Linked DNA regions of Notamacropus eugenii. The protein of the gene in region 1 interacts with the protein of each later gene in a pairwise test. Links are inferred from orthologs where the notes say so. Each region holds a gene or a part of one and is shown on either strand. Other genes may lie near its edges.

Region 1 (8,152 bases):
CTAAAACATTCAATACATGACTAACTCAAAAATTCAATACATTCAATTCAACCAGCATTTTTACTAAAGCACTGTTCTAGGTACTAAGTAACGGTAAGAATGAGCTGTGCCACACATGCCTCTTTCTGATGTCCCTGACAATTAGGATGGGAGCCCTACTCCAACAGCCCAAGGGGTGATACCCCTCCAAGATTTGATAAGCTTCTCACCCCCCCTCCCCCAAGTCTTAAAGCTACCATTTCTGATTAGGCTTATTATTATTAAAAACTCCAAACAGGCTACTCTCCAGAGGGTACAGAGTGACTTGATCATCTGATTATCTGATGTCTCCGTTATAGCAACACTGTTAGGTTGATTATTTCCTAAGTATAGAATTATGAAATGAAGTTGGCTAGGGCAAATTTAGTGAGGGATGTCTATACAATCATTATGGAGATCCGCTATTTCCCTTGTTAGTGGTGTAGAGTTGAGTTTAAGTAACCACACCTTCCTTGATACCTACAAGACTTCTACAAATATTTAAGTAACTGCAATTTAATATTGAATCACCAAGTCATCCAAAGAAATTCCAAATTAGTCTTCTGAAAGTTTCCAAATAGACTGAGTATGTCTATGCATTTAAAACAACTTTGGAAGAAAGCTAATGGTATTTCACTGAGTTCATAGTATTCAGTATTAAGGATTCCTCATACAGACAAGATATATCTCCTATGTTCAAGGAGATGAGGATTAATAAGTAAACTAAAACACGTTTAGGGAGAATTGATTTCAATCAGGAAAGATGGGTTTTCAGTAAGGCTGTGAAAAGGTAAAATATGGTTAACAAATGGAAGCACATTCTATAGGATGAAGAATCTATCAAGTCCTAGAGCAGAGATGTCCTCAGTTGTTTTGTTTTTTCAACAGTGGGTCACATGGTCAAAAATCTATGTATGTATGTCTGATTTATTCATTTCCAATACTGGTAAAGAGAGACAGAAGAAGAGATAGTCAGTCTTGAAGCCAAGAATACCTGGATATAAATTCTGTCTCTAACACACTTACTTTGTGAATCTAGGCAACTCTATTATACTCTTATGTTTCAGAGAAGGTGTCTACCCGCTTTAAGAGAAGGCATTTTCTCACACAGGAGTTCATGATATCAATGAAATCAAAGGTCTCTTCTAGTCCTCAACAATAATAATAGTAAAGTTCAGCCTGTTATCTATACAAAAAAATATGGATTTACAGCAGTAATACAAAAACAATCTTATTCATTAGAAAGCATGGCATTACAGGCCTTGTCCCAGTCATTGCCCAATTTTTTTCAAGTTAGTGTGAATATTTGTATTTAACTCTTTAAAACTGAGCTGTACTTAGTAAGGACATCACCATTCAGACTCCTGGTATTCATCACTGATGGCCCTCTTTTAGCTTTGATTTCATCCATTTCATGGAAAAGACAGAGGGACACAAATACTATCAGGACTTGATTAAGAAATGCCATTGTGGCTATGCCCTATTGACATACTAATTCATGTAATTAGGTTTTTTAAAAGTTCTCAATCATTTCACTCCAGGATCTGGCATCCTACCTTTGGTCTTTCAACTGAGCATCTTAGGAAAAGGGTCTGCATTTAAAGAAGGGGCTCTAATACTTGGTAGCTGATTTTCATACTACTGTGGACACAAATCTTGAAGCAATTGGACAGAGTGAAAAGGGAAAAAACTATTAAGTGTATTTAACACACAGAGTGACAAGAGTTTCAAAGGTCAATCATTTCATTCCACAACCTTCTAAATATAACTACTGTGAGATACTAAGATTCAGTTAAAGATAACACATACACGAAAAAAGAGCAAACAATTTCATTCTCAAAACTCTGGTGAACTGCAACACATTTCTGATCAAAATGATGCCTTAAAAAAATTTTCATTCAGTACATCAGGTTGTGTAGAACAATGGAAAGAGCAATGGTTATGGAATTAGAGGACCTAAATTAAAATTCTGCCTTCCGTCTTTGAGACTTTGGGCAAGCTGCAACCTTCCCAGGTCAGCTTCTTCATCTGTAAAATGAGGAGTTGGACCAGATCCAGATGGCTTCTTCCCCTACTTTCCATGTCTCTATGACCACTTGTTTCTTAGGGATTATTTCTAAGGATACTTAAATCCTTAAGTGTTATTACCCTATTTAAATATCCTATTTCAGTTGGGTTTTTTTTTATTTTTAAGCAAATTGGTGACTGATGGTAAGTATCGTTTAATACAAAGGTAATGTTTAATATAGTTTTATCCCATCGTTGTCAGCGCCTTCCGAAGGAAAAATTAACCCAGGGTTTCGTAATGCTGAATAACCTCAACTCCCTATAAAGAGACCAAAGGCCACAACAGGGGCAAATATACTGAACTAGGAATGCGGTACACACGCAGCTCCCAGAACTAGTGAAAAATTACTTGTCGGTGTTTAACTCGCTTCACTTTATTTCGAGGACGACAGGTCTACACATGCTGATTTTTTTGTCTAAATGTCTTTAGGCTATCTCCGACTGTATAAGAAAAAACCCAACTATCATTTTAACGTAATTTGCAATAATATGCAGCAAAAATATACAGGTAATGTCCCTGGTTAATCGCAATCTGTACGCTCCTCTACAGTCAAACGTACAACAGGAATAGGGCAGAGCCTGGCAAACAACACCCTGAGTTTTAAAAGCCTCCAAAGAAATCAAGTCGGGGAACCACCATCGGCCTCGGAGAGACCCCGGGGCGCCAACGAGCCGACTCCTGGACGGAGGCGTCCGCCCCCCCGCCCCGGCCACGCCGGGGCCACTTCTTTCCGACCCGGCTGAGATCGGCTCCCCGGCCTCGGGTCCCGGGGCGCGCGCTCGGGCCTCCACCGCGGGGAGCCGGAGGTCCGGGGCCGGACCCGAGGCGCCGAGGTGGGTTAGGGAGGGCGGAAGCCTCGGTGGCCGACCCCCTCCCCTCGGCCCGTGGTCCCCGGCCCCACGACAGGCAGGGCTCCCGCGCGCCCGACCCGAGGCGCGGCGAGGGAGCCGGGAGCCCCGTTTTCCCCAGACCCCAACATGGCGTCGGCCGACACCGCCGCCGCCGCCGCCCGGGAGGGGGGAGGACCACGGCTCCCCGCGCCGGAGGAAGAGCTCGGAAAGTTTCTCTTCGCGGCCGCCGGAGGCACCTACCCGGCCGGACGCCCGGCGGCAGTCAGCGAGGCTCGAAAGCTTCCCGGTAGCAGGGGCTGAGAGCGGCCGGCGGCTGGCGGCGTCCCCGCCCGGCCGCCCTCCCCCGGGAGCAGCGCGAGCCCTTCTCCGACGGTGCGAGGGGCTTCCGCGGAGGAGGAGGAGGCGCCGCAGCCGCCGCCCGGGCCCCCGCTCGAAGCCGACCCCGATCCGGACCCGCCGAGCCAGGAGCGCAGCGGGCGGCCCTTCGTTCACAGGTGACTCTTCACAGCCTCTCCCAAGACTCCCCCGCCCCCCGCCGCCGCCGCCGCCGCCACCTCCTTCTCCAGTCAACTACGGCCTCAACCGCCTCCTCCACAGCGGCGCGTGCGCGACAACTTCAGAGCACACCCACCCCGCCCTCGAGGCGCGGGGGGCGGGGCGAGCCGCGGAGTCCCCGCCCACCCCTAGGCCTGCAAAGGGTGGGGTTGGACGAGAGCGAGGAAGGGAGGGTCCCGACGCCATTTGGGGCGGGGCTTGTGCCTTTCTTCCTAACGTAGGTGGTGTGCCGGTGGGTCTCCTGGTACCGCCTGTAAAAGCGATAGTAGAAGGTGCCCTGGCCGAGCGTGGGGCCCAGGCCTAGTGCGCCACAGACCCTGGCACACAGTGGGCACTTCATGGAGCCGCGGCGCCCGCCGCCCGGAAGCCTGGAGATCGAGTCCTGTCTCGGGCACCTTCTGGCTGCGGCGCGGCGGGCCGCGCGTCAACCCTTCCTCAGTTTCCTCCTTTGTAAAACCCGGGACCGATCATAATAGCTCCTACCTTCCAAGGCTGGTAGGGGGATACAATGAGGTATTAAAGCGCTGCGGAAAGGATGGTTAGTACCAGGATACGTTCTCTTTGAAAAGGGGAGGCAAGAAAGGAAAGCCTGCGCCCTGGGCGGCGTGCTGTGCCCGAGGGGTGCCTGGCACACATAAATGCCTACCTGGTCACAGGTCGGACCTGCTCGCTGTTTATGGAACCTGGTGCCTTTGGGCACGTGGGTTAGCCTTTCTTTCTCTGGGTCCTCATCTGTTTGTCTGCCAAATCAGTTCCTGGGCTGTTGTGGCCCACGGGGCTTTCTTGGCAGAGATACTGGAGTGGTTTGCCATTTCCTTCTACAGCTCATTCTATAGATGGGGAACCTGAGATGGGGTCACACAGCTAGTAAGTGTCTTTGGCTGAATCTGAACTCAGGTCTTCTGCCTCCAGGCCAGGTGCCCTGCATACTGTGCCACCTCCTTGCCCTTAGGTGTTCCCCCAAATGAAAAATATTGGCCTGCAGAAGGAAAGGAAGGTATTGACTCCTGCAAAGGTCTTGTAGAAAGAGGTTCTCACATGCCTTGGTCATTTCTTCTCCTTTCTCCACATTAATGGGCGATCCAGAGATGGGAGCGGGCCCTTTTAGGGCCTTTTCCATTTGCTGATTCAGTGAAATGACAAAGTTAAGTGGAAAGTGGTCTGGATATGGAGGGAGAAAGGCCTGGGTTCAAATTCTAACTCTGCTACTTACCTCTGTGGCCTTAAGTGAGTCACTTAGTCTTGGCCTCACTTTTCTTATCTGTAAAATGAAGGGATTGGAGAAAAACCAGGCGTTATATTTAAATAATTGACTTGTGCCCCCACCTTTCATTTCACCTGTATTAGGGAGGGACCTCCTTGGGGAAAAACTTCTACCAATGCATATCAGCCCTTGTTCTGTAACGTTGGTGATACAAGGACACTCTCAAGTGTGAACTGGAATTGATTGTGGGACATGGGAGACACTGGCACAGGAGCGCTCAGCATGGTATGCCCGCACCAGAAAGGGTGCTGTGCTGCATGAGCAAAGCAGAATTGAAGTAACTCAAAGGAAACATAGGATGTGCAAATTTGGAGTATCCACCCCAAATATTCACACGGGATATCTGTGGTAGAGCGTTCCCAGCTAGTATTGGTCTGATCAGCCACAGAAACTTGACTTTATCATGATGGTGTCATTTTGGTCCTCTTCAAGAATCAATCAGAGTTGTGTTTGAATTCAGGTCTTCCTCCAGTATGATCTCCATCCAGGATACAGCCACGCTGCTTCAAAGCAGTCGTAAATCTTATAAAATGTTTTCTGGTCTCAACTAACCTCTTTTCCTCACCCGAAAAATATAATGCCATTTGTATTATTCATTGTTAAACCATTTAGGAACTGAGTTGATTCATTCAACAAGCTTTGACTGAGCTCCACTGTAATAGGTAAATACCAAGGAAATACATAAAAATACCTCAAGGAATTTACTATTGAGCCGGAGAAACTAAAATATATACAATTAACTTCATTAATTCATTCAATAACATTTATTAAGCATTTACTCCGAGCCAGACACTGTGCATATAAAGACAAAAATGGAACAGAACCTCGCCTTGAAAAGCTTATATTTTCTTGAAGGAAACAAGACGTACTCAGCAATAAATACAGAATGTACTGCATCACTGACTCACCACTGCAGGCCATAGAAACCTCTTCACACTAGAAGCAGCCTCCATCCCTATGTCCTCATCTGCTGATTGGCCAGTTCCTCTCAGAACCACCAATATAAAGAAGAGATTCAGGCCAAAAATGTCTTCATCCCCTCTTCAGGCTGCACTCACATCCACTGGACATTTTCTACCATGCATCCCGGGATTCCTTCTTCTCCCGTTCCAGCTCCCTTTTATGTGTTGTCTTCCTCTATTGGAACACTCCTTGAGAAGCAGGGACTCTGGTTTTATTTGCATTTCCATCACTCAGCGCAGTGCTAGGCACATAATAAGCATGAAATGTTTGTTGACTGACTTACTAAAAACAAAGCAATTGGTGGGGGAAAGGACAGTAGCACTCAGAGGAATCTGGCTATGTGGGCTAGGGGGTGGCACAGGCTGAGCCTTTAAAGCCACTAAGGACTCCAAGATTTAGAATAAGGGTAGAGTTCCTGGCATAAATCAAAGTGTTCAAGTAATGAATAGGCCAGTTTGATCTGAATCTAAAGTATGTGAAGGGATTAATGTAAAGTAAGAGGTAGGGTAGAGTCGAAATGTCAAGGGCTTTGTATTTTATCCTAGAGTCAAGAGGGAACCACAAGAGTTTCTTCAGCATTGGATTGAAACCATCAGACTTATGGTTTAGAAATATCAGTTTGGCAGCTTTGTGGCTAATGGGGTAGTAACAGAGAGAGATTGGAAGCAAGACTAGTTAGGAGGCTATCAAAATAGTCCATGGAACCATAAGTGTAAGTGGAGAGGAGATACATCCAAGATGCTATGGAGGTAGAATCAACAAGGCATAATGAGAATAATCAAAAGAAGAGATAATGTTTGTGGTATTTACTGTGTGCCAGGCACTGTGCTATGTACTTTATAATTATCATTTGATCTTTACAACAACCCTGGGAGGTAAGTGCTATTATTATCCCTATTTTGCAGATGAGGAATCAGAGATAAGCAGAAGTTAGTGATTTACCCAGGATCATATAAGTTAGTGTCTGAGGTCAGATTTGAACTCAGTTCTTCCTAACTCCAGCATGGGCCACACTAATGGGATATCAGGTGTGAGGGAAACTGAAAAACCAAAGGTACTTCCAAGGTTTTCAAGCTGGATAACGGAACTACTTATAGAACTAAGGAAGTTAGGAAGAGTAGGTTTGGGGAAAATAATGAGTTTTGGTCTGGACATGTAAAGTTTGAGATTCAGTTCCATTTCATAAACACTATACAAAGCACTAAGGATACAAATAAGAACTCCTCTATTTCATTGAAATTCTGTTTTTTCCCCTGAAGTACTACACTCAGTTTTTCTGGGTAGATGTTTCTTGGTTTTAATCCTAGCTTTTTTTGACCTCTGGAACATCATATTCCAAGCCCTTTGATCACTTACTGTAGAAGCTGCTATGTTATCCAGATTGAATTTCCACAATACTTGAATTGTTTATTTCTGACTACTGGTAATATTTTCTCCTTGACCTGGGAACTCTGGAATTTGGCTACAATATTCCTAGGAGTTTTCCTTTTGGAATCTCTTTCAGGAGGTGATCAGTGAATTCTTTCTTTTTTCTTTTTCTTTTTTTTAATGTTCATTATTTTTAGTTTTCAACATTCCTTTCCACAAAATTTTGAGTTCCAAATTGTCTCCCCATCTCTCCCCTCCCTCACCCCAAAATGCCGTGCATTCTGATTACCCCTTCCCCAATCTGCCCTCCCTTCTATCACACCTCTCCCTTCCCTTATCCTCATCTTCTGTCTTGTCTTGTAGGGCAAGATAGATTTCAATATCCCATTATCTATATTTCTTATTTCCCATTTGCATGCAAAAACAATTCTCAACATTCATTCCTAAAACTTTCAGTTCCAACTTTTCTCCCTTCCTACTTCCCTACCCATCCCCACTGTGAAGGCAGGCAATTCGATATAGGCTATACATGTACAGCTTTGCAAAAGACTTCCATAATCGTCATGTTGTGTAAGTCTAACTATATTTCCCTCGATCCTATCCTGCCTTCCATTTATTCTCTCTTTTAACCTTGTTCCTCCCCAAAAGTATTTGCTTCTAATTACTCCCTCCTCCCATTTGCCCTCCCATCTATCATCCCCCAACCCCATTTATCCCCTTCTCCTCTACTTTCCTGTAGTGTAAGATAGATTTTCATACCAAATTGAGTGTGCATGTTATTCCCTCTTTAAACCAAGTGTGATAAGAGTAAGCTTCACTTTTTCCCTCTCACCTCCTCCCATTTCCCCTCCATTGAAAAAGCCTTTTCTTGCCTCTTTTATGAGAGATAATTTGCCCCATTTCTCCCTTTCTGCTCCCAATATATTCCTCTCTCACCCCTTAATTTTATTTTTTTAGGTATCATCCCTTCCTATTCAACTCACTCTGTGCCCTCTATCTATATATCTGTGTGTGTGTGTCTGTGTGTGTATAATCTCTCCAACTACCCAAATACTGAGAAAAGTT
Region 2 (8,549 bases), on another chromosome or scaffold:
TGAAAGGAAAGGACCTATACATACAGAAATATTTATAATATTACTTCTTTCTGTAGCAAATAACAGCAAACTAAGGGAATAACCATCAGTTAGGAAACAAGTCATAGCATATGACTATAATGAGAAGGGAAAGGGAATAGGCATTAAATTGTGCCTACTAAGTACCTGTCACTTCTTCTTCTATTACTACTACTACTACTACTACTACTACTACTACTACTACTACTACTACTACTACTGTTACTACTAGCTAACATTTATATAAGGTATCAGGCTAAGGGTTTTTATAAATATTATCTTATTTGATCCTCACAATAACCTTTCAAGGTAGGTGCTATTATCTCCATTTTACAGCTGAGGAAACTGAGGCAGACAGAGGTTTAGTGACTTGCCCAATTAAGTGTCTGAAAAAAAATTTGAATTCCTATCTTCCTAATTCTGGGCCCAGCACCCTTTGTGCTGTAACAACTATTTGACCCTAATGGAATACTATTGTGTGATAAGAAATGACAAAAGAAAAATTTGGGAAGACTTGGATAAACTGATAAAAGTGAAATGACCAAAACCAGAAGAACAATTTATATAGTGACTGTAAAATTGTAAAAAAAAAAAAAAAAAAAAAAAAAGTTTTAAAGACTTACAAACCTAACCCCTCATGACTCCCTAAGATTAATGATAAAGCATGCAATCCATAACAAAGGGCTGATGAAGGGGAGAGATGCAGAACGATATACACGTATGAGAACATTTTGACCAATGTGTATATTTGCTTTGCATAGAGAACTATGCTTGTTTGCCACGAGACAGGGTGTTGAGTTTTGTTTTTTTTTTTAATGGAGGACAGACAGGGTGTGGGGGGGAAGGCCTACTGATAATGATGCTCAAAAACAAGAAATGAAAAAAGGGTCTCACACATGGGAAAAAATATCATACATAGAGGGAGGTGTAGACTAGCAAAACAGCTTTAAAATTAACACACTGAATTTGTTATTTGCAATGGAGATTTATGGTTTTACACACAATTTTCTTCATTTATTTTTCTTTGCATATGGAAATGCTTATGTTAATTGGAGTATGGCAAGTATAGAATAACAAAAAAAATTTTAATTTAAAATTTTCATATACTTCAAATGAACTGGACAAAACAGAAGCCAGTTCCATATACAATCCTCTTTTCTGTTCTCTGTATATTGAAATATTTATGTTTATTGATGATTTATAAGTTCATAATAAATATTTTTCATTAAAAATGAAGGTGTTGGAGAAAAGACAATGTTGCATACCTCCTTCCTCAAAGCAGAGAGGAAGGTGACTATTAAATTAGGATATTTTATTTATTATCAGGCACGACTTTCTTACTGGATGTTTTTACCTGTTTTTCTTTATCAAAAAGGTAGGGTTCCATCTGGAGGAGAGGAAGGAAAGTGACTATCATGTAAAGATAAAAAGCATCAATTAAAAAAAATTAACAAACTTCCCAAAGAAGAACCTCCTTAATTATGGCAGAAAGGTGGAGGAACAATTGGGATAACACAAATGTTTCTGTTTAATTGGGTTGTTTGGGGGTTGTTTTGCAATGTTGGGTTTAATCTAGAGGGATGAGTAAAAAAAGATTGTTATAAAGTTATTAATAAAAGATTATAAAGGTATCAATAAAGCAGTTTAAATGAACTGATTTCACACCTTTTGTTGGTATTTTTGTCACAAAACAAATTATTTTTAACATAAGAGCCAAATAAGTAACTTTAAGGACTCCAACTGAGGTTGAGAATAAACTAGGTCTTGAAGCTTTCTCATGCTCTCCACACTGACCAAAAAATTCTCAGGCACGTATGCCAAAAAACAGTCTTCACAGAAAAGCATTAGCAGAGATCTGCACCACTATCAAGCACCCTGGTATAGTATCACTGTGTTAAGGAAATAGCCTCTTGGGCTTCTGGAGGATATATTACTCATCTACCACATGAATGTTAATTCCACATCAACCAGGTGAACCTTAAGTCATATAAGCAAGCTCTAACTGGGAGGAAACTGAGTACTTCAGGAGACAACATAATCTCTATATTCCCACCTTGGCCTTCTAGGAGAGGATAACTTGTCAGTGAGGTCTTTGAAACACCACAGGTTTAAAACAAACAAGGAGCCCTTGTCAATCATAAAACTAAATATGACATCAGTGATTTATCACTTGGGCATGTTAGAGTAGAAATGTCTAGTTCAAAAGGCAGATATAATTATAAAGTACAGATATTATCCTGATGAATAATGGTTTGCTGGTCCAAAAAAAAAAAAAAAAACCATAACGAAGCATAAGTACACAACAAAATATCTATTTAATCTGGGAGCCTAGTATGAACCGGCAGTATAGTGGAGCAGAGAGCAAGATTTGAAGTCAGAGAAGCTGTAGGCTCAAATTCTGCCTCTGACACTTACTAGTTGTGAGACTTCAGATAAGTCACTTTACCTAAGATTTAGTTTCCTCCTCTGTAAATTGGAGGAAATTATTTGCATTATTTACTTCTGTGACTAAGGATCAAATGAAATGAGGTAGGAGATGCATTCTTCATACTTTCAAGTGTTATTTAAATATTACTTATCAATTTGATAGATAACACTCACCATTCACAGTCTACTTACTTCAAAATTTCAGGGATTTGTGATTTCAGCCATCTCACTATTTCTCCTACTTTTGAAGATCAAATTCCTCTATAACTTAGGTGATTTAGCAGGTTCCTGTGGCCAAAAAAATCAATACTAGGTCAACCATTTGGTTGCAAGCTTCTCCAAAGCTCCAAGCTAGTCTGCTTTTTATACAGTAAGTATATCATGTCTTTAATCAATCCTGTAGCTGAAACATTTCCAACTTGACAAGACCTTCTAGATCTTGTACTAGGTTGGCATAACTTTGAGAATCCAGTGCCACTTCCACACCAGAATGAAACACACAAGTGGGGCTTTGATGGAGGTTCATGTTACACCAGATGATAAAGCCAGGTTAGTCTGAACTGATATTCCTATTCACTCTTTCCATAAATGTTGAAGGATTTACTTGTTTTTACAGGGGAGGGTCTGGACCTGTCATTTCATTACAGAAGGTTCTAACACTACTAGTGTTAAAAAAAAAAAAAAACCTTAAAAATATATCTAGTTCTGATTAATTAGGTTGCCATCCCTGAAATAATTTTATGATCTCATGCTTTGGGATCTTTGCTCTTCTAGCCTTTCATTTAATGATGAGATCAAATACCGTTGAACAGTTTGGAGAAAGGTGAGATTTAGACACTTTAAAAAAACTGAGAAGTCAGTTATAAAATGGAGAAAACAATCACTTGGGAGAAAGTGCTGAGTCAAGTTGCTGTCTCCATGGATAGTGGTAGATCAATCATATATTTTAAAGCATTTAATGTATTTGGGAAGCTACTAGGAGGCTTAGTGTATGGCTGTGTGACTCTGGCTTAGACATAAACGTTCCTGGTCATATTTAATCATAAGAGTGTAAATGTTAGCTATTATTATTAAAATAGCTCCATTTGGGGGAAAGTTTGGTAGAACCATGTGAGCCTGAAGGACTGTTTAGCTTTTGTATATGTTAATATTTAATAAGGTGACACAGTGGATAGAGTGCCACGCCTGGAGTCAGGAAGACATCTTCCTGAGTTCAAATTTGGCCACAGACACTTAGCTTATTAGCTGTGTGACCCTGGGCAAGTCACTTAACCCTGATTGCCTCAGCTCCTCATCTGTAAAATGAGCTAGGGAAGGAAATGGCTAATCAATCCAGTATCTTTGTCAAGAAAACCCCAAATGATGTCACGAAGTCAGATATGACTGAAAAACGAATGAATATGCACAAGATTTAATAAAGTATTTGTTAAATTAAATGTATCAAACACATTGCCATGTCACAGCAGCAAAGGCACTGAATTTGGAATCACAGATTCTGGATTCAGATGAATCCTCTGGAATGAAAAGATGGCAGATCACGGTACTATATATATTCAGAGGTGGAAGAGACTTCAGATGTTACTTAGTTCAATCCCTCCATTTTTCATTTAAGGAATCATACAGGTAAGGTTTGAAAGTAATTTTCAAAACCACATCATTGGACTCCATAGCTCGACTCCTGCCACTACACCATGGTCCTTCAAGCTACTTTCTCACTTTACAAATAATTTTATAAGTAAAATGTATTAATTTAGTAATTTAATTTTTAAAATTTAAATTATTTAAATTTAAATTATTATTTAACCCTATTCAGGGTTCCAATTCTGACCCCTGAAAGACACCTATTAGGTTCTAGGGGCTGCTGGGGATGCTAAGACAAAAATTAAACAGTCCTTCCCTGAACTCAAGGAGTTTACACACTACTGGAGAGATACAACAGGTACTTAAGCAATATAAAGCGTGTATAAAATACTGGGTTGGGGGAGAGAGGGAGTTCAAGAAAGGCCTTGGCATCAGGGTCTTTCCAAATGACCCAGTATCAGTTTCCACTTCTCACCTTGGGCCAAGCTTTATTTGCCGCTTTCCTCCCTTTAGGTGTCCTAAAAATTAAAAGGTGGTCATTTCCTTTCAGTGTATTTTAAAACTGGACGGATTTCACGGAGACTGTAACATTCTGGGACCTCCTGGGACACACCGGAAACAGTAAAGACGCACACAGCCTCAGGCTCCCAGGACCAGCGATTCTGGGTCTGAGACAGAAGGCTCCCACTTCCGGGCTGCAGTTCTCACCTACAATGGTTAACGCCTCTGCCCAGGCTCTAAATCCTAGGGACAAACAGGCTATGGCTAGCCGGGTTCTCCCTTCCGTAGAGTTCCTCCCTGCAGCCCCAACCCAGGGTGACACCTAGATGACTGCAACACGTGGCCGGTGAGTCAGGGGAGAAGGCCAATTATAAAACCACAGAGATGTGAGATAATTAGGACGCCCTTGCGCCGCGCTGCGTGCGTGAGAGGTTTCCCCACCCTCTCCCGCAGGCCTACTGCCCAGCAAAGCGTGCGTGCCCAGACACCCCACTCCACTCCCGGAGCTCCAGCAGCCTCCACGTGTCCTCTCCTTACCCAGCAGCCTCTACGGCTGCCCTGGGAGAAAAACCTCCTGACAACTCGCTCCACACCCCCACCACGCCGAGTACTACAATTCCCAGAAGGCTTCACACTCCCCTTTCTCCCTCCCTCCTCCGCGGGACACGCAGGCGCTCTTGTTCTCATCAACAAGCCGGAGAGGCTCTGAGTGTTGATCGTGCCTAACGGGATTTGTAGTTCTTCCTGGACCTTCGGTCCTTGGGCGGCTGAAGAGGGGTGGACTCCAAGTCTCAGCGGCCCTTGCGCGGCGGAGACCGGTCACGTGGGCGGGGTGGGCCGGGCGTGCGTGCCGCCGTTGATCCGGTGCTGCAGTGAGGAGGTGGTTCTAGCCTTGTTGTGTGTGAGTGTGTGTGTGTATGTGTGTGTGTGTGAATGTGTGTGTGAATGTGTGTGTGAGTGAGGGAGTGAGTGAGGGAGTGAGTGAGCGAGCGAGCCAGCGTGTACGGCCCGGCTTGTTGTTGTCCCTGACTTCCCCCTCCCCTCCACCCCTCCCCCTTTCCCAGCCGCCGCTGCAGTGGCCGCTCCCTGGGCCGTAGGAAATGAGCGATAACGATGACATCGAGGTGGAGAGCGACGTGAGTCCCGGGGTTTCTTCCTTCCCGTGTGTGTCTGTTTGGGGGTCGGGGCCAGAGGCCAGAGACGGAACCGGACGGGGGTGCGGCGTGCAGAGGCCGGGCCGCTTCCTCCTCGCCCTTCCCCTCCGTAGACGGGTCCGCCGTCGCCGTCTCGGTCCGGGCACTTTCCTCACTCGCCCGGCCACCACGGCCTCTGGAGTCCGGATGGGGAGGAGTGGCCTTGGGGAATCCTCCCTTCCCCCCAACTCTTCCCTCATCTCACCCCCGCGGGGGGGGCAGCCTCACCAGGGCCAGTCTACCCCCCTCCCTGATCCCCCCGCCCGGTGCCGGGATGGGGGTACACTCCGCAGCCCATTGTCCAGATCCAGGGAACGGGGACTGTGCTCAGGCCCCTTCCTCCGACCCCCCCCCACCCGTTCAAGATCCCTCTTCCTTTATCTATTGGGGGAGGGGGGGAGTTAGGGTGCCCAGAAGGCCCTTGGCATGGGCTGACGAACGGGGGCATTCAGGACCCCTTCCCCCCAGCGCATCCCCTTTGGCTGGGCTGGATCCCGGAAGAAAGGGCGGCGCACAAGACACACGCCCCCCACCCCCAGCCCAGCACGGGATCCCCGGCTGGGGGGAAGGGAGGAGGGTCGGGCTCACTCCCCATCCCCTGCTTCCTTCACCGCCGGCATTTTCTTTCTTATTTTTGAATGTGAAGCGTAAAAATAACTTCTATATTTTCTATTTTTCTCTCTCTTATTCCAGGAAGAGCAACCGAGGTTTCAATCTGCGGTACGTCTCCTTCTCTCCATTTCATTTTCATTTCCGTTCAGTTCTAATCCTTTTCGGGGTCAGAGAGAGTTCTGTTACTTTCAATGTTATGATGGTAAACTGCACTGTGAAATGCTGGAGGTGAGGTGGGGACCTACGTCGGGGGTTCTAGATGGGGAGAAGGGTTGCAAACTTCATCATTCTAGATTGTCAGGTGTTAGGTTCCATTGAGGCTGAGTGAGTGGGAGGAGCTTTGTCCATAGGAAAGGATCTCATTCTTGAGGGATCAAATCCAAGGGATCTGTAGAACCACTGTTTGGATTCAGGAAATGGAAGAAGCTCTGAATTCAGTTGTTGTCAGTATTTGAAGGCAAAGCAGCCTAGAGAATATTTGGAGACAAATAGCTTTTAAACCATTGTTACTTTGGAGGCACATGTGATTATCAGAAATGAAGAGCCATATGAATACTGTATTCTTTAAAGGGCTTAGCAGTATTACATCAGAATGTAATGCAGAAATTGAAGCCACAAGTTGCACATACCGGAACAGTAGCAGAATGTCACTGCTCTAGACCCATGGGTTGAAGTAGGTTTTGAAACTAAAGAGGAAAAGCTTTGTAGTTGGTGTGGAAGAAAGGCATGCCAAGACAGAAGAAAATGTGTTAGATCATTTCTTTGGTTTTCTGTATTAATGTATTTGATACTTGCTTCCGTGGATGTAGATATGTAGTTTAAATTGATAGAAACCTGGAAGTGTTCAGTGAATTTGAAGGGGGTGGGGAGAAGAGACTTTTTGTGGGGCACAAGAGAAAAGGAGATTAGAGTGGGAAAGGGAAATGAAGCACAACAGAGTCCCTGATAGTTTGCATTTGGAAGCAGTAAGGAATAATAATTATTTTAAAAAGAGAAACTTGCTGAGTTAAGACTTGATTTAACAGAACAAACCGGGATTCAGAATCTTTTCCAGAGATCTGGGGCTTCAGAAGAATTTAAACAATATTAAGAGAAATCTCAGGATGTAATTATTTTATTAGACCTAAAAACTGTTTCTGATTGTCATTTGTTACAACAAAAATTCATTTTAGTGGACTGAAAGATTCCTTATTTTGGATTTTTTGTTGTAAATCTTCTTAACAGTATATCCACTTTAACATTGTACTTTTTTAAGCAAAATTTTAAAAAATATTTCACTTTTCTCCTGAATTCCCTTGATGCGATTTGAAAATGGCCCCCAAATGAAGGATGGTAAGAAGGGCAAAAGAGCCCTTGAAGAACGTCTTTTCCAGACTCTTACTTAGAACAACTAGTCATGGGCTTTCAGCAAAAAAACAGTTTTCTTTGTTGAGAGAAAGTTGCTTTTTCAAGCCCTTTTTCATTTTAAAATCATTGATGTGTTGATTTTAAATGGACATGAAATGATTAAAATGTACTTCTCTGCACCTTAACATCTAATCTTTGGTTAAGTGTTAAGATATCTAGAGTTTATCCCTTTGATTTTTTTTTTTTTTTGGCTTCTTTTTAATTTGGCTTGCAGAGACTTTCAGACATCTTGCACAAGGTAATCACAACAGTATTACAAGCATGTTTTTCAGTATCACAAACAACTATTAGGACCTGGTAGAGGAATAAGAATTCCCCTTCCTATCATGTGTTCCAAAACTCAAGGCCTGGGCATTTTTTGTTAAGCTGAAAGAAATTCCCATTATAAAGCAACCATTTTTAGGCCTTGACTTTTGAAGGAAAATCAAGCTGGAATAACAGGAAAAAATTTGATCATATTGTGAGAGTTTTAAAAGTTACTTAGAGAATATTAAGTTTTACAGGTGTGAAAATCCTGTTTCATGAGACCTTAGAAACTGACATGAAGTAGGAAATAAAACTAACTGTAAGAGAAAGTGAAACTGAATTTAATAATTCTCTGGGAGCCATGCGAAAGATAAAGACGTTGATTGGTAGGGAAAAAAAATAAGCTTGACTAGAGAAAACAGTCTGAGTAACCCAGAAGAATGACTTGAAGAGTATTTCATCAGTATTTCCCATAACAAAAAATTGCCATGTTGCAAAAATCCCAAGTGATGTGATTTTCCTTTTACTTTAATTCCACGAATTTTTAAAAAATAATGGAAGCAA
Region 3 (8,240 bases), on another chromosome or scaffold:
ATTCAGAGAAACCAGAGAAAACTTGTCTAAACTGGTACAGGGACTGTAGTAATGTAAACAGTAATAACAGCAGTATGAAACATACCTAGAGTGCCTAAGATAGTGTCATGTGGAGGAACCCCACTTCGCTCAGGCCAGCTAAAAACCCTGAAGGGGGAAGTAATTGATCTGGCTTTGAGAGAGCAGGGCCAAAATCATCCTAAAGAAGAGCACTTTGAAAATCTTTTCCTTTTTAATTTAATCTTTAATTTTTTTAAGTGGAATTCACTGAATTTTTTTATGTTTTGAGTTCTAAATTCAATCCCTCCCCCTCCTCTCCCTGCTCTGTGCGATGATTAGCAATTTGATATAAATTACACCTGAGAAAGCATGTTAAACACTAGTCATTTTGGGGAAGAAAAATTCAAACAAAAAAAGAGAAAGAAAATGAAAAATAATATGCTTCAGTCTGTATTCAGACACCAACTGTTCCTTCTCTGGAGGTGGATAGCATTCTTTATCATGAGTTCATTGGGATTGTCTTGGATTATTGAGAATAGTGAAGTCATTCGCAGTTGTTCATTGGACAATATTTCTATTCCAGTGTTCTCCTGGTTCTGCGCACTTCATATTTCATGTAGGTCTTTCCTGAAATCGTCTTATTCATCATTTCTTCCATCACAACAAAATACCACAACTTGTTCATCCCCTCAATTTCCAATTCTTCATCATCACAAAAAGAGCTGCTATAAATATTTTTTGTACAAATAGGTTCTTTTCCATTCTTTTTTATGTCTTTGGGATGCAGACCTAATAGTGGTGGCTCAAAGGTTATATACAGTTTTCTTTGGGCATAGTTTCAAATTATTTTCCAGAATGGTTGGATCAGTTCACAACTTCACCAACAATTCATTAATGTTTCAGTTTCATGTCTCCTCCAACATTTGTCATTCTCCTTTTCTGTCACATTAACCAATCTGATAGGTATTGGTTGGTAACTCAGACTTTTTTATATGACTGTGGATAGCTTTGGTTTCTTTATCTGAAAAGTTTCTGTTCATTTTTTTGATCATTTGACCATTTATCAATTGAGGAATGACTTGTATTTTTATAAATTAGACTCAGCTCAAGAAATGAGGCCTTTATCAGAGATACTTGTAAAAGATTTTCCCCAGTTTTCTTCTTTCCTTTTAATTTTGGTTGCACTGTTTTTGTTTGTGTAGGGTCAGGGAGATGGGGCACAGATAGATGGTGGTGGGGAGAAGCATGTTGAAAAACGGGATAGAAGGACCTGTGGATAGAGGGACAAAGATCAGAGGATGGAAGGATAGAAGAATGAATAGACAGCAGCAGGAGGAAGAGGACAAAAGAAGGGAGGGGGAATGGAAAGATAAGATAGAGGATTAGCCAGTGGGGGAGTTATGGAGAGGGCACAGAAGGATGGGGAGTGGAAGGAAAAGGAGGTGGAGGAATGGGGATTGAGGGAAGAAGGACCAGGGGGCTGGGAGAATATAGGCCAGAGAAGGTCTGGCTCAGCATTGACCTGGACTCAGTGTGTCCAGCACTGGCTGCTCCCTCCCTGGCTGAGATTCCTTCTCTCTAGGATCCTTGTTCTTGAAGCTTCAAGTTTGAGAAGGGGACTTAAAGGTGGCTGTGTGTCTAGCAACTGCCCAAAGTTCACTCTGTTGTAAATACTAAAAAGTTAGGTTTCCATAAAATGTCGCAGTTTCAAGGTGGTGTAAAACAGCCAGCACCCACTGCCTTTCAGGAGAAGCAGTTAGCAAACTGCAGAGTTCTTGATCAAGGGGGCCAGACTTGAAACGAGCTTCACCAGCTGGAGTCAGTGACTGGGGGAAAGTTTTTCTTCACTGCACTTGCTTAATGAGTTCATCGCATATTAATCTGACACTTGCTGCATAGGATAAGAGTCTCTTTATCGGTACACTGGGGAGGGCATCATGACAAGGAGCTGCATGAAGTGGGAATGTAACCAGAAGGATCCCGACCAATCCTGTTCTGGAAGGGAGGGATATCTAACAGTTAAAGCTCTAAAGCTTGCTCTGGTTTCTGTATCAGTTCACTGCTCTCATGGTAGGGAATGCGCCCACTTCTTGCAAGGATCGCAATAAAAGACTCCACTTTTACTTCAAATTTTAGTTTTGTTATCAGGTCCCCAGATGTGAGCCTTACTCTAGATGGGGAGGGGCCTACTGGATGACAACTGGATCTTGACAAAGGCTGGGGAGACTTTGGCCCCAAGATCTGTTCTTCCTTCATTACTCAGTGACTAGGATCTGTCTCCTGCCAAGCTTGGATGGCTTCCACACTGCCTGAGCTGGATAGAAGTGAGCAGGTCAATGGAGAGTTGAGTTAAAGGGCAAGAAATGAGGACAGAGCAGAGCTTTTCTATTTCCCTGGGACCAGAACGTCTTTTCTAATCCCCCCCAAGAGAAGAGAAAATGTACCTGCTGTGGGAGGGGAAGCGGGGATTGGGCTGACTGCAAGTTTTTATATCCAACAAGAGAAAAGAAACAAAAAACCATCAAAGGGATAAAGGGAACAGTCCCTGATTGTTAAAAGAAAAGCACTTTGTGAGTCCCAAGGCCCTTAACCTTTTCAGTGCCCTCTCCAGCTAAGACTGAGCTGCAGAGAAAGTGCTCAGAAATATGGGGGGAGATGTTTCTTCCCTGAGAGAGGAAAAGGAGAAGGAGGAAGAAGAGATGGGGGAGAGGAGGAGGAAGAAGAGGAGAAGAGAAGGAAAAAGAGAAGCAGCAGAGGAGGGAGGGGGAGGAGAAGGAGGAGTTAACTGGATTTTCTAGGTAACTGCAGTTTCCCTGCAAGCCCTTTTTTAAAAAAAAAAAGCTTGATTCCTCCCTTCTGTTCTCCTGTTGAGGTGTAGGGTTGCTGAGAACCCTAAAATTCAATGACCAAAAGCCTTAAAAGAATTCAACTCAAGCCTCCTTTCTTTCAGAGGCAAGGTTTATTAAAACACTAGTTGAGGTGGTATATCGCCAAGGCAATATTCATAGTATGTGAATGGTATGTTGGCATAATTCTCATTTGCAAAGTATAACAGATTCTCCATATGGAAGCCAGAAGAAAAACATTTATTCAGACACCAGAAAGCCAAATCCCCAAACCAGAAAGCAAAATCAGTCATAGTAGCCAAGAAGTCAATACACATTGTCATAGCAGGGAGCAGTTATTGCCAAGTCTCCCTCCCTCCCAGCCTTCCCACAAACAAACGAACACTCACCAGCCTAGCTGTCTGCTTACTTTTGTCCTTCCCAGCTCTGACTAGCCTGATCAGCTTCCTCCCAGCTCTGCTCCACCTTTCCTATTCCACCCATTCAACAAGCTCCTCCCACCACATGTGATTTAGGCTTCCATGTGATTTAAGCAGGTCACATGGACCTATTAATGAATGAGAAAGATTTTCCCATTTAAATTACCATTACATTCGACCCCAAGAGCTTTTCTATTATGTAATATGTATTCATTACATAGGTTGGTGGGGCAACTGGTACGAACAGAATTGTAACAGGGATAACAGAAAATGAACATATAAAACAATAACTTAGGCAACTGATGCCAACAGAACCTTACAACAGTATAACAGGGATCACACAAAATAAGCACATAAAACAACATCTTAGGGTGGAACTTGAGCACAAGCACCTCATCATTCCCCCCTTGAATGAATGGGACCCAAAATCTTGGGATAAGGGGTTAAGGTCTCTTCTTCCATAGCTATTTTCTGCTAAGATTGGACGTAGAGCTTTCCCTGCCCCAAGAGGTCCCATTCAAGAGGTCAGTTCTTTAGCTGGCATCCAGAGCTTGGTCGATGCCAGGTCCAGGGGTGACACATCACAGTCATGGATAAGGGACAACATTTGGCTTAAGCAATCAGACATCGCAGGTGGGGGGTACTAAGCCTGCAGAAAACGAATCTAGCAAACAAATTTAATAGACAAAAAGCCAAAAAGAAACAAGGGGACAATAACCAAAAGCAGGGTAGATATAGGGTCAGTTGCACTTCTAGAGTCCATGAATCCACTATCATAGCCCTCATTCACAGTAGAATATGAGTCAAGGGTTCAATTTGATAATCATCTTCTCTTGAATAAACAATTATCTTTTTTATATGCTACATTTTCTGCAGCCTTTGGAACATTGTCTAGCTTCTGTTTTACCCATACTTTAGCTCCCAATTTTATTCTATCAGTAGAACCCAATCCTTCAGTTCCTCTGCTAGTTATTTTGGAGGGTGTATCAGTTTCCACAAGAGGTATTATTTCACAAAGAATAATAATCATTTGTACTATTCTATCATTTTTACAAGACCGTATGGATTCTTCACCTAAATTTTGGAATGTCACAATAATTTCTCCTTGATAAACTGGTTGGTTGTTGTTGTCCTTTGTTTTCGAAGACAACCAAAATGACATCACTGTGATAAAGTGAAATTTCAGTGGGTCTGACTGTGGCTGATCAGACCAATATGAATTCGGAATGCTCTACCACATTAGTCCTTGTAAATATCTGGGGTGGATATCCCAAATTTGCGCATCCTGAGTTTACTTTGTGCTGTCTCAATTCTGCTTTGCTCAAAGAGCACAGCACCTTTTCTGATGCGGGCATGCCATGCTGAGCAATCCTGTGCCAGTGTCTTCCATGTTGCACAGTCAAATTCAAAGTTCTTGAGAGAGAGACCTTGAGAGTGTCCTTGTATCATTTCTTCTGGCCATCATGTGATCACCTGCCCCATGTAAGTTCCCCATAAAATAATCTTTTTGGCAAGCATACATTTTGCATTCAAACAATATGGCTAGCTCATTGGAGTTGCGTTCTCTGAAGCATAGTTTGAATGCTTGGCAGTTCAGCTCGAGCAAGGACCTCAGTGTCTGATACCTTATCCTGCCAGGTGATCCTCAGAATCTTCCTTGATAAATTAGAATCTATCACTCCCCCCAATACATGAACTGCTAATTCAGATTTAGGTAATATCCATCCAAAATGATTTTGGGGGATTCTCATACATATTCCAGTAGATATTTTTATTATTTCTATCCAATCTAAAGTCCTCTAAACAATATAAACCACACACTGCCAAACCAGGTGTCCCTGGATACAGTGCTGGGACATCTGGCCTCACATTTCAATACTCAATATTTGGGATCTTATGTGTTTGTTGTTTTCTAATTTGAAGATTTGGACTCCTCATTCAGGCTAGAGGTATACTTCCTCCTAATGGTCTATTTTTCAAATTATGCAAAGCAGTGAACAAATTATCTTTCCAATGTTGAGAAGAATAATTAGAACTTAACTTACTTAACTGTTCTTTCTATAATCTGTTCATTCTTTCAATTAACCCAGATGCTTACGGATAATATAGAATATGATATATCCATTCTATTTTATTTAATACATAACATCTCTTCATTTCATTACCTTTGAAATGTGACCCATTGTCACTTTGGATCTGCATTGGGGTTCCGTAATACAGACTTATGATATCTAAAGCTTTACAGATGTTTTTCTGGGTTGGATTCTTATAGAGACAAGTCACTAGTGCACGTGAATAGGTGTCAACACAAGTACATATAAATTTGCATCCTTTATCTTGGGGTAGGGCTCCAATATAATCTATTTGCTAAATTTGGGCTGGTACTTTTTCCCTTGCTTTCTCTCCAGTTACTACCTGAGAAGCAGTTTGTTCCTTTCCAAATTTTATGTATATATATATATATATATATATATATATATATATATATATATATATATATATATATATATATATGTGTGTGTGTGTGTGTGTGTATGTGTGTGTGTGTGTATGTATGTATATATGTATATATGTGTATGTATGGATATATGCATATACATACATAGATACATTAATACACATTCCTCTGCTACTTGTTTCAACAATGAATGAGAGATACTAATACCTCAGTCTTGTGCCCACTGGTATGTGACCTGGACCCTTAAATGGCTGACTGTTTGATGGACTCATTTTGCTAGTACCTGTTGGGGGTGTAAGCTCAGTTCCATGTGGACAGTCTCGGGCAGGTAAAGGTGAGGACTTCTAAACCTTAGAGTTCTCATGAGGCCCTCCAGGGAACAGCTGGGAATTGAGGTGTGAGACCCGGGCTATCTCATGCATTTCCGCCTCTTCCCCATGGGAAACTTGCTGGGGAGAGCATCCCCGCCCCTGAGATTAACCCATGGTTTGAGCGCACCTATTGTTGTCTAAGGGCTGAGAACAGGCATGGTATTCAGGTGCAAACTATGCGGAGGGAGAGCTTAAGTAGGGTCAGGAAAGCCTGAAGGCGCTCTTAGTGCTGAGGGGCCCTTAGAGGACAGAAGGCCCCTCTTCCCTCTTCCCTCTCCCCTCTCCCACTTCCACTTCCATTCTCTTCTCTTACTGTAAGATCTTTGCCTCCTTGGGAAGAGGATTGCTCTCTCCTGAGGAAGAATTCCCCCTGCACATGTAACCAAGACCCTGAATAAAGCCTAACCCTTGTTTGACTCTGGAAAGTCTCTTCTCTCATACGTTTATCCAGTTTGGCCAGCCGAAGACCTGCGACAGGTAAGGAAAGACTTGGGTAGCCCTTAGGCCTCTAGGCCTGACAAGTACCGATCAGAGTAGATACAATATGTTGAGTGGCAATCTTTGCTAGTCCATCAACGTGTGCATTGTAGTCATGTTCTGGTGTGGTGAGGGCCATGTAAACCTCTACATGAAAAACTGACAATCACCTACCCAGCAAAACTGAGTATAATACTTCAGGGGAAAAATTGGTCTTTCAATGAAATAGAGGATTTTCAAGTATTCTTGATGAAAAGACCAGAGCTGAAAAGAAAATTTGACTTTCAAACACAAGAATGAAGAGAACCATGAAAAGGTGAACAGCAAAGAGAAGTCATAAGGGACTTACTAAAGTTGAACTGTTTACATTCCTACATGGAAAGACAATATTTCTAACTCTTGAAACATTTCAGTATCTGGGTACTGGGTGGGATTACACACACACACATGCACACACGCACACATACATAGAGACAGAGTGCACAGAGTGAATTGAAGAGGATGGGATCATATCTTAAAAAAAAAAATGAAATCAAGCAGTGAGAGAGAAATATATTGGGAGGAGAAAGGGAGAAATTGAATGGGGCAAATTATCTCTCATAAAAGAGGCAAGCAAAAGACTCATTAGTGGAGGGATAAAGAGGGGAGGTGAGAGAAAAACATGAAGTCTACTCTCATCACATTCCACTAAAGGAAAGAATAAAATGCACACTCATTTTGGTAGGAAAACCTATCTCACAATACAGGAAAGTGGGGGATAAGGGGACAAGCAGGGTGGGGGGGATGATAGAAGGGAGGGCATGGGGAGGAGAGTGCAATTCGAGGTCGACACTCATGGGGAGGGATAGGATCAAAAGAGAATAGAAGTAATGGGGGACAGGATAGGATGGAGGGAAATATAGTTAGCCCTATACAACACAACTATTACGGAAGTCATTTGCAAAACTACACAGATTTGGCCTATATTGAATTGCTTGCCTTCCAAAGGGAAGGGGTGGAGAGGGAGGGAGGTAAAGAAGTTGGAACTCAAAGTGTTAGGATCAACTGTTGAGTAATGTTCTTGCCACTAGGAAATAAGAAATACAGGTAAAGGGGTATAGAAAGCTATCTGGCCCTACAGGACAAAAGAGAAGATGGAGACAAGAGCAGAGAGGGATGATAGAAGAGAGAGCAGATTGGTCATAGGGGCAATTAGAATGCTTGGTGTTTGGGGGGAGGAGGGGATAAAAGGGGAGAAAATTTGTAACCCAAAATTTTGTGAAAATAAATGTTAAAAGTTAAATAAATAAATTTAATTAAAAAAAAAAAAAGAAAAGAAAAACTGACAAGTTAGTAACGAAAGACATGTCCCAAATATCTTCCCATAATTCTTTGCCCCAGACTTGTTTGCCACAAATTTCCCAATTTTGATTTTCTCACATGGGCATCCATGTAGCTAATCCATTAGCTACCACTCATGAATCAGTGAATACATGACACTGTTCTCCTTGTTCTGTTTTGATAGTTTGATGTACTGCCATAAGTTCAGCATATTGACTACTTTCACCTATCCCAGTACTTTCCAAAGTCTGCCTAGTACCAGTGTTATAGGCCACCACTTTCCAACATCTTTTGTGGCCCAAATATTTTGCTGTCCCATCAGTAAACCACACATGTCTCTTCTGTTCTT

Evidence for each region. The genes of interacting proteins can lie anywhere in the genome.
Region 2: the proteins of PLEKHF2 (region 1) and MAX interact in binary tests that used the Homo sapiens proteins (3 or more experiments, as listed by UniProt). The two-hybrid records come from large-scale screens. The link is inferred for Notamacropus eugenii from reciprocal best matches to the Homo sapiens genes PLEKHF2 and MAX.
Region 3: the proteins of PLEKHF2 (region 1) and ACY3 interact in binary tests that used the Homo sapiens proteins (3 or more experiments, as listed by UniProt). The two-hybrid records come from large-scale screens. The link is inferred for Notamacropus eugenii from reciprocal best matches to the Homo sapiens genes PLEKHF2 and ACY3.

The regions. Positions count from the first base shown.
Region 1 is NC_092875.1:157,845,976-157,854,127, forward strand, and holds the start of PLEKHF2 (pleckstrin homology domain-containing family F member 2), read right to left. Parts: upstream 3,317-8,152; 5' UTR 3,178-3,316; intron 1-3,177. UniProt on the Homo sapiens protein: May play a role in early endosome fusion upstream of RAB5, hence regulating receptor trafficking and fluid-phase transport. Enhances cellular sensitivity to TNF-induced apoptosis.
Region 2 is NC_092872.1:315,998,042-316,006,590, forward strand, and holds the start of MAX (protein max), read left to right. Parts: upstream 1-5,217; 5' UTR 5,218-5,627; coding exon 5,628-5,663; intron 5,664-6,413; coding exon 6,414-6,440; intron 6,441-8,549. UniProt on the Homo sapiens protein: Transcription regulator. Forms a sequence-specific DNA-binding protein complex with MYC or MAD which recognizes the core sequence 5'-CAC[GA]TG-3'. The MYC:MAX complex is a transcriptional activator, whereas the MAD:MAX complex is a repressor.
Region 3 is NC_092873.1:20,205,374-20,213,613, reverse strand, and holds the start of ACY3 (N-acyl-aromatic-L-amino acid amidohydrolase (carboxylate-forming)), read right to left. Parts: upstream 3,333-8,240; 5' UTR 3,236-3,332; intron 1-3,235. UniProt on the Homo sapiens protein: Plays an important role in deacetylating mercapturic acids in kidney proximal tubules. Also acts on N-acetyl-aromatic amino acids.